Coturnix japonica: one gene and its partners. The protein of the gene in region 1 interacts with the protein of each later gene in a pairwise test. Links are inferred from orthologs where the notes say so. Each region holds a gene or a part of one and is shown in the gene's direction. Other genes may lie near its edges. The genes, in order: ESR1, PNRC2 and TRAM1.

What was found.
Region 2: the proteins of ESR1 (region 1) and PNRC2 interact in a two-hybrid assay, tested with the Homo sapiens proteins (2 studies listed by BioGRID and IntAct). The link is inferred for Coturnix japonica from reciprocal best matches to the Homo sapiens genes ESR1 and PNRC2.
Region 3: the proteins of ESR1 (region 1) and TRAM1 interact in a two-hybrid assay, tested with the Homo sapiens proteins (2 studies listed by BioGRID). The link is inferred for Coturnix japonica from reciprocal best matches to the Homo sapiens genes ESR1 and TRAM1.

The regions. Positions count from the first base shown.
Region 1 is NC_029518.1:44,172,348-44,176,725, forward strand, and holds the start of ESR1 (estrogen receptor 1), read left to right. Parts: upstream 1-1,552; coding exon 1,553-1,986; intron 1,987-4,378.
Region 2 is NC_029538.1:4,928,390-4,932,759, forward strand, and holds the start of PNRC2 (proline-rich nuclear receptor coactivator 2), read left to right. Parts: upstream 1-1,453; 5' UTR 1,454-1,583; intron 1,584-1,785; exon of another isoform or gene 1,786-1,843; 5' UTR 1,844-2,049; intron 2,050-2,741; 5' UTR 2,742-2,759; coding exon 2,760-3,185; 3' UTR 3,186-4,370. UniProt on the Homo sapiens protein: Involved in nonsense-mediated mRNA decay (NMD) by acting as a bridge between the mRNA decapping complex and the NMD machinery. May act by targeting the NMD machinery to the P-body and recruiting the decapping machinery to aberrant mRNAs.
Region 3 is NC_029517.1:105,770,348-105,774,758, reverse strand, and holds the start of TRAM1 (translocating chain-associated membrane protein 1), read left to right. Parts: upstream 1-1,498; 5' UTR 1,499-1,662; coding exon 1,663-1,785; intron 1,786-3,441; coding exon 3,442-3,505; intron 3,506-4,102; coding exon 4,103-4,224; intron 4,225-4,411. UniProt on the Homo sapiens protein: Involved in the translocation of nascent protein chains into or through the endoplasmic reticulum (ER) membrane by facilitating the proper chain positioning at the SEC61 channel.

The DNA.
Region 1 (4,378 bases):
ACTTGTGTAATCTTGGAAATATAAGTGACTGCTTTTTAACAGAAGTTCTAAAACACCATATTATTACTAAGGTAAAAAAGATTATAGTAAACTTTTCTAGAAGCTATTAGTGACCTATACATTCAGTTTTCTGGTTTCTTGCATTTTTTCAAAGGTTGCATTGAATAACTGTGGAGTTGTTTAGTGTAGGCTTTGCTCGTATTCAAATCATACTAACTCAAGTCCATATATTAATGTGTTTAGGGTCAACATTAACCTGTTTAACTGAGTGAATTGCAGACCACAACAATGATGCTAGAGAAATTGGGACGGTTTCTGAAGGTTTTCATTTAGCTGGTTCAGGAGATGTGGTTTGTGAAAAGTTAAAATTATTTGGGATGAGATTGCAAGATGAGGTATGCATGCCACACCTTTTCATTATGTCCTTTCTCCACCTTTTTTTTTTTTTTTTTTTTTTTTTCCCCTAAAGATAACTTTGAGAATTATTTCAGTTTACTTTAACACTGATTCCAATCAAGTACTTTATTTTCAAGTTGATAGCAAAATCTAAGCTTGCTGAGCTTTTGTTTGTGGGAATAGAAAAAAATAAAATAAAAAATCCTGTATTCCTTTTTTGTGCGCTGAAATCTTTCTTCCTAGTTTCTAAGGTCTTACCATGGCAAAGTCTGAAAGATGCTTTGCTTCATTGTTTTACAAGGTAAAACAGAAACAGACAGGAATTTATGGGCTAATCTAAATTTTTTCCTCACTTTTTTTAATGTAAATTTTCACTTCACTAGTTTGGGTCACTGTTACTGATAAAGCTTGTTATAAACCTTTTGTCCTACACAAATCTTTTACATTCTTTAATTTCTGTTAGCTAGTTTTGTTGACAGAGACTTGTTACACACACAGATGCATGCGCTTGCACATGCATTTTGCTTTGCCATATCTCAGTTACAGCATAGTCCTATCCAGGGTCATTACAATGTACACATTACATATTTCTAGCAAACATGAAAATGAATCAAACAGGGAGAGATAAGCACAGATAGATTGGAGCCTGCTGAGGAAATAAAAGGCAGTAATCTGGCTGACCACTGGACTAGTCTTTCTGGTCTGATTTCAGCGTCCTTTCCCGTTAGCTGCTGTGGAGTGCTGGCTGCCCTGCAGTGAAAAATTAAATGACTAGCAAGAATAAAGTAACATTTAGTGGGACAATTGTTTGGTGTACCTCCAAAACTAATTGTTTCTGAAGTGATGTTTAAATCAGCGTCGGCACAAGGCAAGAGCCCCTGGCTTGCAGCCAGCACCTTGTAACGCATATTAGAGCAGATGAGGAGTTCTCAAAAGTTAGAGGGAGAGGGAGAATGTGCCTTTCCAGTGCTCACCCTGCATTTGTTTGTATACTCCTCCTCGCCGAGATCAGAGGAATACCTGTGTAGTGCTGCTTTAACATGATTTCTGCTGAGCCTCAGAATAGGTTCTGGTGTTTTTTTTAGGTGGACTGCCAGCTGCCGATCTTGCTGTTGACAGTAAAAGCAGATATGTTCCTTGCTCCCTGCCATTAGCAATGACCATGACCCTTCACACCAAAGCCTCTGGAGTTACCCTGCTGCACCAGATTCAAGGCACTGAACTGGAGACTCTGAGCAGACCTCAGCTGAAGATTCCCCTGGAACGATCGCTCAGCGACATGTACGTGGAAAGCAACAAGACAGGAGTTTTTAACTACCCAGAAGGGGCCACCTACGATTTTGGTACTACCGCTCCAGTGTACGGCTCTACTACACTCAGTTATGCCCCTACTTCTGAATCTTTTGGGTCCAGCAGCCTGGCAGGATTTCACTCTCTGAACAATGTCCCACCAAGCCCAGTGGTGTTCTTGCAAACGGCACCCCAGCTCTCACCCTTCATCCATCACCACAGCCAGCAGGTACCCTACTACCTTGAAAACGAACAGGGCAGCTTCGGGATGAGGGAAACTGCTCCTCCAGCCTTCTACAGGTAAGTGCAACAGAGAATTTCTCTTTCTTCTTTAAGCAGCTATGCTGAGAAATCAGAATATTGAAATATGTCTGCCCTACACTTTCATTTTTGTGTAAAGGACTGTGTAATCTTGTGGAATCTTCCATGATATCGGGACCATAAAAATAGCAGAGGATAAAACAAAACTGTAACTCACAGCTTACTGTGCCTGTGATCTGTAAATAATGAAAACTGTAAGTAAATGGGAAACAAATTAGATAATGAGTGTAAATGTTTCCTGGGAAAACATGAAATCATAATTGATTAAGGAGTGGCAAACAATCTCCTTGTTGCAGTATATTAAAATTACTGTCTAGAAGCATACTGAAAATGTGCAATTGGCTGTTTGTTCAGCTCTTAGCTGCTAGTAAGAGTATTACTTACCTCTGGTATCCTTTACAGGATAAGTGACTTATATAGGAAGTAGTTCACAGGCACAATATCCTTCCAAATCAAACTGTTTGAACTGATTCAATGACAGTATTTCAGTCAGCAACCACTTTAATGAGCTGCAATAAGAGCTATGTGCCTTGCATTTTTAATCAAACTTTGATATATATTAAGCATAAATCTAGCATGCTGCATTTCAAAATAATTTTTATAAATTTAAATATGATTTCTTTTTAAATTTATATTTATCCTTCAATAGAAGAATTTTAATACGCACTGGAAATTGTGAAAGCATATACTTAATTTCTGACATATGTGTGAGAAACTGATAGAACTGTAGCTTCCAGGAAAATATAATCAAACACACCAGTACTCACATTGTTAATCTTTGTGCACTGTTAATAGCTTAATTTTTTACTGGCATATAATAATGGACTATAGCAAATTAAAGTGAACGGTTAGCTCCTAAATGCTGTCCATGTCAGCTTATTTGTGAAATACAGGTGATTTTTATACAAATGGAGAGACCCTCTAAAAATAAAACCAGGTTATCCTTTCCCTGTCGAGGCCAGACTTAACTGTTGCTGGGAACAGCAATGTAGGTTATTAAACACAGTGTCACGCAACCTGAGATAATCTTGTAGCAGAATCTGATCCAAAAAAACAGATGGTGATTGCACTTTTTGCAAATGATTAATCGGTTTTGGGGATCAAGTGGAATAAAGACAAGTGAAAAGATAACGGTTAGGCCAGGCAGCCCAACTAATATGTCTCTTAGCTGAACTGATTCAGACAAAATGTATTTTAGAGCAACTGAAGGCAATAACTCTAGGAGGAATTAATGTACTTGAACATTGAGTATCTGGATTGTTTAACAGTGATGTGGGTGTGAAAGTGTGTTTTGCACTAGATTCCATGTTGTTTTTATTTTATTTTTATTTTTATTTTTTTTTTATTTTTCAATATGATTATCCAGGGCAAAACTCTGTTAGAAAGCGTTTAAGGGACATGTGGTGTGTAAACAGCTGAACAGTGAGTTTGTGAAGCTGAAATGCACATGCAGGAAATGGGCTAAAGTGAGGGCTTTTTACTTGAGGAGGGAGAAAAACCAAGAATCAGTTGGAAATGAAAACTGAACTGTGGAAATGGCATTATTTTATTTTCTAACAGTGAGCGGAGGTGGGACACTTCAAAATAAAAATGGCATACATTGTAGTAGTAACATTCAGGCACTGCAACAAGCATTAAAGGGCAGCGGTGTATTCCCATTGTCCTGATGTTTTCAGTCAAGGATAGGCATGTCCTTTCAAGATGCATTTTAGATGTATATAATATATGAGGCTTAAAGCAGTGGAAATTAGGTGAATGTATGATCTTGGTTGTGCAGGTGGTTTATCCGAATACAGAGTTACAAGACTGATTTAATGGCCTCTTCTGGCCTTGATTCTGTATTGCACATTTGACATGGTAATAGGAAATGTGGAACAAAGTCCTCCCCATGATTATCGTCTGTTACGAGGCATAGTACTGTTAGGATTAAATAGACAAAGCTTTGCTGTTTAAAAATTTCACAAAGACCATATTTGGGAAGTTGTCATATTGACAAAATTAAATGTTAGGTTCTTATTCTTGTATACCAGTTATAAATAGTATGCTAGAAATATTCTAAATAGGTGTTCGGTGTCTGGGAGACATCTCATTATCTAATCATGAGGTACAAGAGCAAGTTCTTTCAAAAATTTTAGTGCATTATTTTCCAATTTGCTTTATTCATTTGTCTGTTCCAATCCCACCTGAATTCAAAAGAGAACATAAGGCAGTGTAATCTGGCAACAAACACATAGATTTTGGAGATTTGAAGATGTCTAAGTAACAAAATGATGAATTTCTGATGTAACATACTAGTATGAGTGGTAAAGGCGTAAAAAACTAAAACCAAAGCCATACAAAAATTTAAATTCTATCATGATCAGTTTATGAT
Region 2 (4,370 bases), on another chromosome or scaffold:
TGCGCGACGTGCTGCCCCCACCCGCCTCTGCCCCGCGGTGTGTCCCGACACCGCCCGCACCCTGAGGGTGTTCGTACTTGTCTCCATTACTTCCCTCCCCATTGAGCGCCCACTTCTTACTGCTGCTGTTCTGTGCTTCCCAGCAGCTGTGACACCCACCGACCAGCCCGTGATGTGCTGCAGAACCCGCTGAGGCCCTGACCCCACACTCTGCTCCCAGCTGCTCACTGGGGAACAAACATTGGCAGCTGCAGCGTTTTCTGTTGCACCCGGAGCATTTTGATCCCGATTTGCGTCTCTTGGCATGTTGGAGCAGAGCAGTCCTGGACTTTGGGCTGAAATGTGGCTTAGCGTTGCAACAAGCTGCTCCTCTCTTACGTCAGGTTCTGGGGCAACCAGCAGGACCACAGCGATTGCACTCCAACCTCAGCATCCCATGCTTCCTGCAGCTCTTTGCAGGACATCACAAATGCAGCAGTCATTATGTCATTATTCTCAATGTCATTATTCAGTGACAGCCCTTGTCTCCCCAGACGGGTGCACTGTGCAGCCAGGTGGGTTTTGACCCATCTCAGCTCACCAGGGAGCTCCTCAGGTGCCCAAATCTCCCTCAGAAATCGCTGCCACCCAAACCAAGGCATCTCTTAAACAAACGGCACCTTGACGTCTCTGAATTGCACACAGCTTTCCCAGGACTGTCTTAAATTCTCCATACCCGCATTTACGCAGTGTCCAAAGAACATTACAACGGTGTTCAAGAGATGTTTAGATGTTGTACCACAGGACACAGCCTGGTGGGGAAATACTGGTGGTAGGTGGGCGGCTGGGCTCAATGATCTCGGGGGTCTTTTCCAACCTTAATGACTCTGATTCTGTGACTCTGTGCTGGGGAGACTGGAAACCCCCTGAACACAAAGCGGGTGCCATAAGGTGAGCACAGCGCTTATGGTCCGCGCACAACGCGGGAACGTCAGTTCGGCCCCAGACCCGGCGGGTTCGGCCCCGTTGCTGGAGGCCGCGGTGCCGGCTGCGGTTCGTGCGGTTCGTGCTGCTCGGCCGCCCCCGCCCGGCCGGAGCTGCGCCCTGCACCCACGGCGCGGGGGAACGAGCGCTCAGCCCGCAACGCGTCCAACTGCTTGTGCTCCAGCCTGAGGCTGTTCCTGCTCTGCAGCCAGCGCGGGGACGGGAGCGGGAGCAGAACGGCACGAGGGAGCGGGAAGCGAACGGCGGGAAACGAACGGCGGGAGCAGAACGGCGGGAAACGAACGGCGGGAGCAGAACGGCGGGAGGGAGGAGGAAGGAGGGAGGGATCAGCCGCAGCCGGTCCGAGCTGCCGCGGGGCGGCGCCGTTGGTTCCCGCGCTGCGGGGATTCGAACCGGACCCCGCCCCATCACGCCGACGGGGGAAACTTGCCTCTCATTGGCTGCGGGGAGTACGCAGCGCGCTCCTATTGGCTGGAGAGCGGCGACTTGGGAGAAGGGAGAGGGGGAGAGGTTATAAAAGGCGACGGGAGCGGCCGCCATTTTGTGTGGGGCCGGGGACGCGGCGGGGCGGGACGTGACGGTACCGAGCGGCGGGTCGGGTCGGTTCGGACGGGCCTGAGTGTGTGTGTGTGTCTGTGTGTGTGTGTCTGTGTTGTGTGTGTGTGTACGGAGCGGACAGCAGTCGGTAAAGGCGGGGCGCTGCGGTTGGGCCGGGTGCCGCCATGTTGTGCTCGTGACGCCATTGTTGGGGTCGGGGCGTGGATCTGTGTGAATTCCATCGTTTCTAACGTTCTTTTGTAGCTCCAAACTTGAAGGGGAAAAGTTGTTCCCCGTGTCTGACTCCAGACTCTTCCTGCAGCTGTGACTTCTCCCCTTGGAGTTTAGTGCCGAGAAGCTGATGTTGGCTTCGGCTGCCTGGCTGAATACGGCGGATCGGCCCATGAAAACCTGCGCCCGGAGCCAAAGGAAGGAGAGCAGCGAAAGGCAGCACCTGCTATTGCAGGCTTGGAAGCAAGAAAGGGGGCGAGGATTGGAGAGCGTGGAGTCGGAAACGGCCACTGAGAGGTAACTGAGATGTGCAGGGATGGGATGGTTCAGGGGACACAGCCGTGACAGCGCCTGGCTTTTCTTTCAGGTCCACTTACAAACGGCTGCTTCACACTTGAACGTTTTCAGTTCAGTTGTGGTTTTTAACTCGTGTCCCACAGCTGTGCTCACATCTGTGCTGCTTCCTCATCTCCTGCCAGAAAAATCTGCTCTGGAACGTATCTCATGCCTACATTGCCTTCACTGACTGTACCTGCTTAGGAATATCAGCAGTTAAAAGTAGTATTTGTTAGACTGGGGCATGCCTTTATCCGTGCAGATTTCTCTCTAAGTATAACATAGGCTTGGTTTAAATGTCTTCAGTGTTAACCCTTTCATTTGACGTTGTTTTGTGAACAGTGCACCTTTCACATTTTCCTAGTGCAGTTTGTGGAGGGAATTAGTGGCACGTCCAGTGGTTGGGCTGTGCAGAGGAGCAGCTTTTTCATCAATAGGTAGACAGAGCTGTGTATTGATGAAGGACTGGTCTGTATCCAGTTCCTGAAGGATGGATCAGTGCACGATGACCAGCAGATCAGCCATTAGCAGCAGAATTGTTAAGCCATTTTAGAGGGAGTATCTGCCACTAGGAAGACACATTGCACTGTAGTTCAGTTTTCCTGGGTTTAAAAAAGGAAAAGAAAAATACAAACTTTTCCCTTTCTTTACAGGTGACATTTAACTTGAAAATGGGTGGCGGAGAGAGGTTCAGCATTCCAGTTCCCCAGTCTAGAAATATTACCAAGAACCATCAACAACTTAAAAACAGGCAGAAGAATAAAGACCAGAATTCACAGATGAAGAAAACCTGTATGAAGAAAGAAAGAGGACATGGATGCAACTCCTTGTCTGGTGCATGGCAGGCCATGCAGAAGGCAGGAAAGAACAACATTCATTTCCCCTGTAATCAAAATTGGAGTCCTGATCTGTCAAACCGTAACCTATTTTTCTCACCTCAGACCAATCAGAACTATGCAGGAGCAAAGTTTAGTGAACCACCCTCACCAAGTGTTCTTCCCAAGCCACCAAGCCACTGGGTGCCTGTTTCTTTTAAACCTTCTGATAAAGAAATAATGACATTTCAGCTTAAAACATTGCTAAAAGTCCAGGCTTGAGATGGAACTTTAAATGATAAAAGATTTATCAATTAGTTATTTGAATTTACAGGCTCCAACTTTGAGACTAGCTATTCAGAAGTGCAGATGCACGGGTAACAGGACTAAATGTTCTTGCTGCATGTAGTTGGAAGAGAAGGAGGCAGGTAGGGACGCTTACATTCCCAATGTTTTACCTCAAAAGTTGTGTGCTTTCTTGATTTTGCTATTACATTAATTTGATTAAATCCTAGACTGTCACCATTTACTGTAAGAGTTAATGGGACTGTCCCTAAAAATTGGAATTGAGAGTCCTTGTTAATGGCATTGGAAGGCCAACTTTTGCTGAACTTGATGCAGCATTAACTGGAAAAAACAAACACTCTGCAAGCTTTAATGAGGTGCTCTGCCTTTGCCTTTTCACCTTTTATCAGATTTTCTAGTTAAAACTCTTCTGAGCAGCAATTCCTAGTGAAAATGCAAAGAGGATTTGTTTTTTTTCAGACCTTTGAGATCTGACACTCAAGCTTGTGACTAAAATTTAGTTTTAAGAAACATTTCTACATGTTCTTGAAAAAAGGTGGAAGAACACAGTAAAGAAGTCTGTATCTCCAGCTCCAGCAGTATTTCATTGCAACCTCAACAAATTAGACTGCCAGTTAATGACACGTTTTGCATTGCCAGGTGACTGCCAGAAATTCCCCAAATTCTTTGTATTCTGATGCACTGATAAGTTCTAAATTCTTTTTTTTTTCCTGTTTTGTATAATTTTGTAATTGTGAGAAAGCTGGAGAGTAGTTACTTATAACTTTAAATTGGTTACTCTACAATTACTTTAAGTTACAGTATCTTATGTAGGTATATGATGTTTTCATAGGGAAAAGAGAGCCATGTAAATAAGTGTAATACTTTGTAGCATATGTAAATTTATGCTGGACTTTCCTGCATAGAGGTATTTTTAGAACAAAAGTGGTAAATGGAAGGTGGCCATGCTGAGTACGTGGCCTGATCTAAAAGAAAAGAATTATTTTGTTAAACACAAAAGGACATTTATAGATGTAGCCTTGGACTTAATATACAGTGAATGTGTACATTTTATGTGGTCATGGGATGATTTTTAAATAAATGCAGTGCAAAAGATAATTATTTAGAATTTTGTAGTGAAATCTTGAAGAGTGCTTAAGTTTAAGATACTTCTGCTCTGGA
Region 3 (4,411 bases), on another chromosome or scaffold:
GAGTTAAACTGCAGACAGTGAAGAAAGAGATGCGATGTAAAGAACTACATATTCTATACTGTGATGCAGCCAACACCCAGAATTCTTGAGGGATGAGGGAAACAGCAGTTTGACCAGACTTGTCTTTCGTGGTATATGTGGTGTCTCTGAATTGTTTAAAGCAGAGTTTGCACTAAGACGTACACTTGCATCTGTGACATTGCTCAAGCCTTAAGACTCCTTGCTGACTGTGAGATTTTAGGTGGCACCTGTGTGCCAAGTTCAGAACCTTATTTCTTGCTGCTGAATGGTTTTCACTTTCCTTTTTCCTAATGAAGTACAGTGCAGCTACACTGTCAATCTAAACAGCTCTCAGAAAATTGATGTTACAGATTCCAGCAAGTGATCAACCTAAGATGTCTTGTCTTGCCGTTGTTTTCAGGGAACTTCTTTAACCCAGAGAATCCTCAGTCCTTCTCCTGCCCTTCTCACAATTGCTTAATTCACAGATCACAGAATCACACAATGACCCGGGTTGGAAGGGACCTCAAGGATCATGTAGTTCCAACCCCCCTGCCTGGCAGGGCCACCAAACATACACCTTTACTAGATCAGGTTGCCCAGGGCCCCGTCCAACCTGGTCTTGAACACCTCCAAGGACGGGGCATCCACAACCTCCCTGGGCAGCCTGTTCCAGGGCCTAACCACTCTCCTAGTGAACAACTTCCCCCTAACATCCAACCTAAATCTTCCCTCTTTCAACTTAAAACCATTTCCCCGTGTCCGTTCCCTCATCCCTCTTTATTATCTTGTTCAGTTCTTGCCAGTTGGAGTATTGTCTTTCTAACGCAAGCAGATGGTAAGTGGCAGGATGCATTTTTAATTCCTTGTCACCTTTTGTTATCTTATCAGCACTGATAGTGATCGAGAAGTTCTTCCTGATGTCTGATGATTTCCTGTAATACTAAAATGCATCATTGAGGGCATTCTCTGCTTTGTACTGTCAGCTTTTATTCATGAACTCATTTAGGGCTGTTAAAAATGCTCGATCCCTTCCATATTTCTGATTTAGGGGCTTTTTTGCCCTTTTAATGGGGTAACTTTTCTCGTCCTGGGACTCCAGGTTGTTTGGATGTGTGTTGTTCCGTGCTATGGGCTGGCAGGAACCTGCTGTTAGTTCCTACCCCGAGGCCGTAACCATAAACAAACCCAACGAATGCCGTTTCCTAACGGCATCCTCCGTTCACCCGACGACCAGCTAGCGACGGCCTCATGGAAACTAAACTTCGCCAGAGAGGCGGAAGAGAAAACCGAAGGCGGCTTTGTGCAACGCAGGCCGGCAGGCGGTCGCAGCCACGTAGCGCCGTCCGAGGAGCCCCGGCCGCCCCTCACGTCGCCGTCGGGGGCTGCGAGGCGGCGAGCCACCGCCTCCCCGCGGGCGGGCGAGCGGGCCGAAGACCCCTCCGGCCGGCAGGGGCGCTGGCGGGCAGCGACGGGGGCTGCTCCCAGCGGCCGGGCAGCGGAGGAAGGGCCGCTCGGGGCCGCGGCGGGCGGGGCGGGGTGAAGCGGCGGCTGCTGCCATTCCTCTGCTGCGCGGCCGCCTCCTCCCCCCCGCCTCTTCCTGGCCGCGGCGAGAGCTGTGCTGGCAGCGGGGAGGCGGCGGCGCCCAGCTCCCGGCCCGCCATGGCGATCCGCAAGAAGAGCAACAAGAACCCGCCGGTGCTGAGCCACGAGTTCATCGTGCAGAACCACGCCGACATCGTGTCCTGCATGGCCATGATCTTCCTGCTGGGGCTCATGTTCGAGGTGAGGCTCCCGCTCCCTCCTCCCCCTTCGCCGGGAGCCCCGTGCGGCCCGGGGGCGGGCGGCAGCGCGGTGCCGCGATCGCGGCCGTACGGGGGGGAGCCCGGGCGGGCAACGCGTCCCCGCTCCCCGGGGCCCGGCCCCTCCGGGAACGCCCTCTTCGCCGCCTCGGCGCGGAGACGCGCTGCCCGCCGCAGCCTCCTCTCGAGCGGGACCGTGCACCGCCACACGGCGGGGTTACGTGGCACTCGGCCGGGGGAGGGAGGGAGGGGTGCGCGGCGTGTGGCCGCGTTCGGACCGGGGGAGGCGGAGGGGGGCGGCGGGGAGGCGCGGCCCGGCCCTGCCCTGCCCTGCCTTACCGCGCTCTTTGTGTGCGCTGCACGGACGGCCCCGCCGGCACTACCACTCCCGTGAGGCCGCGCGGCGCCGCGCAGCCCGCAGGGGGAAGGGCGGCCAGCGGTGACGTGTACCTACGGCCGCCAAGCGGGCCGAGGGGCGAGCATCACCCGGCCAACGCCGGCTCACTGCGGCCGGCCCGGCCCACAGGGCCTGCGGAGCTCCGAGTAACCCAGAAACCCAGTGTGGGTGTGATGAGCCGAGTGTGCCGTGCTGGGTTCCCTTATGAGAGCCGTCGTGAGGTGTTCCCAGCGTGCCCTATCGCAGTAGGACACGTCCGCTTGGCACGGTTGTGGCTCTTCAGAGCCCCAGCCAGTGGGTGTTTTACCCATGTAGATAGATGGCTTTCGGCAGAGTTTTACCCAGCCTTTGTACTGCTTAGGTGTAGGGGCACGGTGGGGCTTGAAAACCTCCCAACATCTCAAAAGCAAAGATGGGACACACCGAGAATGCTGCTTTGTGTGGTTTTACTATCAAAAGTCGCCTAGAAATCACTCCAGACCTTACAGTGTGGTTTTGTGGAGTCTGAGGTTAAAGATACAGACCTAAACCCTTCCCATGTGTGTATGCTTATTGCTTATTTACCACATTGCTGGTAGCGTTGGGTGGGTTGGGTGTGCCAAAGTCTTAGTCTCCAGATTTTCACTTCAGGACATTTACTTTATATCTTGGCACAGATGGATCATGTGCCTCTGTTATACATATGGTGAGGCTTAGCAGATTGCCAGGGTCTCAGAAATGCTTATGTACAGGCCTTGGATTTCACCTGCCACAGTCAGTGCTGGTACGGTACGGTATTGATGCTGCCTTGACCTTGCTCAGCTGAGCAGTGTTAGCTGAGTAAGCCTTGGCATGGCACATCAGAACTGGCTGGTGCTGTGAGTCCTTTGGAGGCTCCTTCCACGGATAGCAAGCCCTGGGCATTTGAACCAATTCTGGCAGCTTAGTTGGGTTCTCAGAAGTTACACAGAGACGGTTCCAAGAAAACCTGGTGCTTGTTGACAGAGTGCTGTTTCAGTGGGGAAAAAAAAGTAAAGATTTAAGAAGAAATCCAGTTTCCTTTGAATCATTGTAATAATGTGGTGGGGATCTTCAGGTAGCAAAATGTCTTACACTTGGCAATTGTTGTTGATGAACAAGAATTGCTGCTTTTGTTTTGTTTTGTGAAGGTATCATCTCCCTGCCCCAAAAAGACTTCAGAACAAAGATTTTTTAGTTTATGTTGGTGAGATTCTACAGCACTTGTGCATTTTTCTTTTTCAGATTACAGCCAAAGCAGCTGTCATTTTTGTCACTCTTCAGTATAACGTTACCATTCCTGCCACAGGTATGTATGTGCCTTGCAGGTGCTTGGTTAGTCATGGGGTTGTATCCTCAGATACCGCTAACGTGTTGTATGCCCTAAACTGAGGATAAGGTACTGAGTTTGAATAGACAGGAAAGAGTTGAGTTTGAATAGGCAGGAAAGAGTTTTAAGAGTTTTAATTGCGTTGGGGAAAATGTTTCTGCTTTGCTGGGTTTGTTCTCAATCCTGAAGCTCAGTTTCACTGGTTAATAAGTTCATATTCTTACTCTGGTTATGCAAGTGATGATCTGTTCTACTTAGTTGGGGGGAGGGCTGATAGTTGAATGTAATTTTATAGTTCCCTTTCAGTGCATTTGTCTAAGCTTCCTAAGTGCACTTGAGTTTCCATTTTTATATTACATCCTTCCAAAATCAGATTGAGTTTCTGATGTGATGGAGAAGATTACTGTAAATGGAGTCTAGTGACCTAGCTCAGGGTGGTGGTTTAATTGGACTTAGATTTGTTCAGCTGACAACAAATGACTTTTGTCTGAAAGGTTTCACGTTAAGAAACAAACTTGTTGGCCATAAAACTGTATCAGTGCCTAACTAACAGTTAATTCTGTTTCTGTCTTCTAGAAGAACAATCTGCAGAAACAATCTCTCTCTATCACTATGGCATCAAAGACTTGGCTACGATTTTCTTCTATATGCTCGTAGCAATAATCATACACGCTATTATTCAGGAGTATGTATTGGATGTAAGTACAAAAGACTTAATTCCTTTAATCATGATAATAGTCAGACTTTGACCGTTAACTTAAATAATTTAATGCTAAAGTTTACCTTTTAAAATGCTAAGGCATTCATTGGAGCATTCAGATGTTCTAATGCAGGTAACAGGTGATGTTTAGTACAAGAACATATAAATAACAGTGGACTTTCATT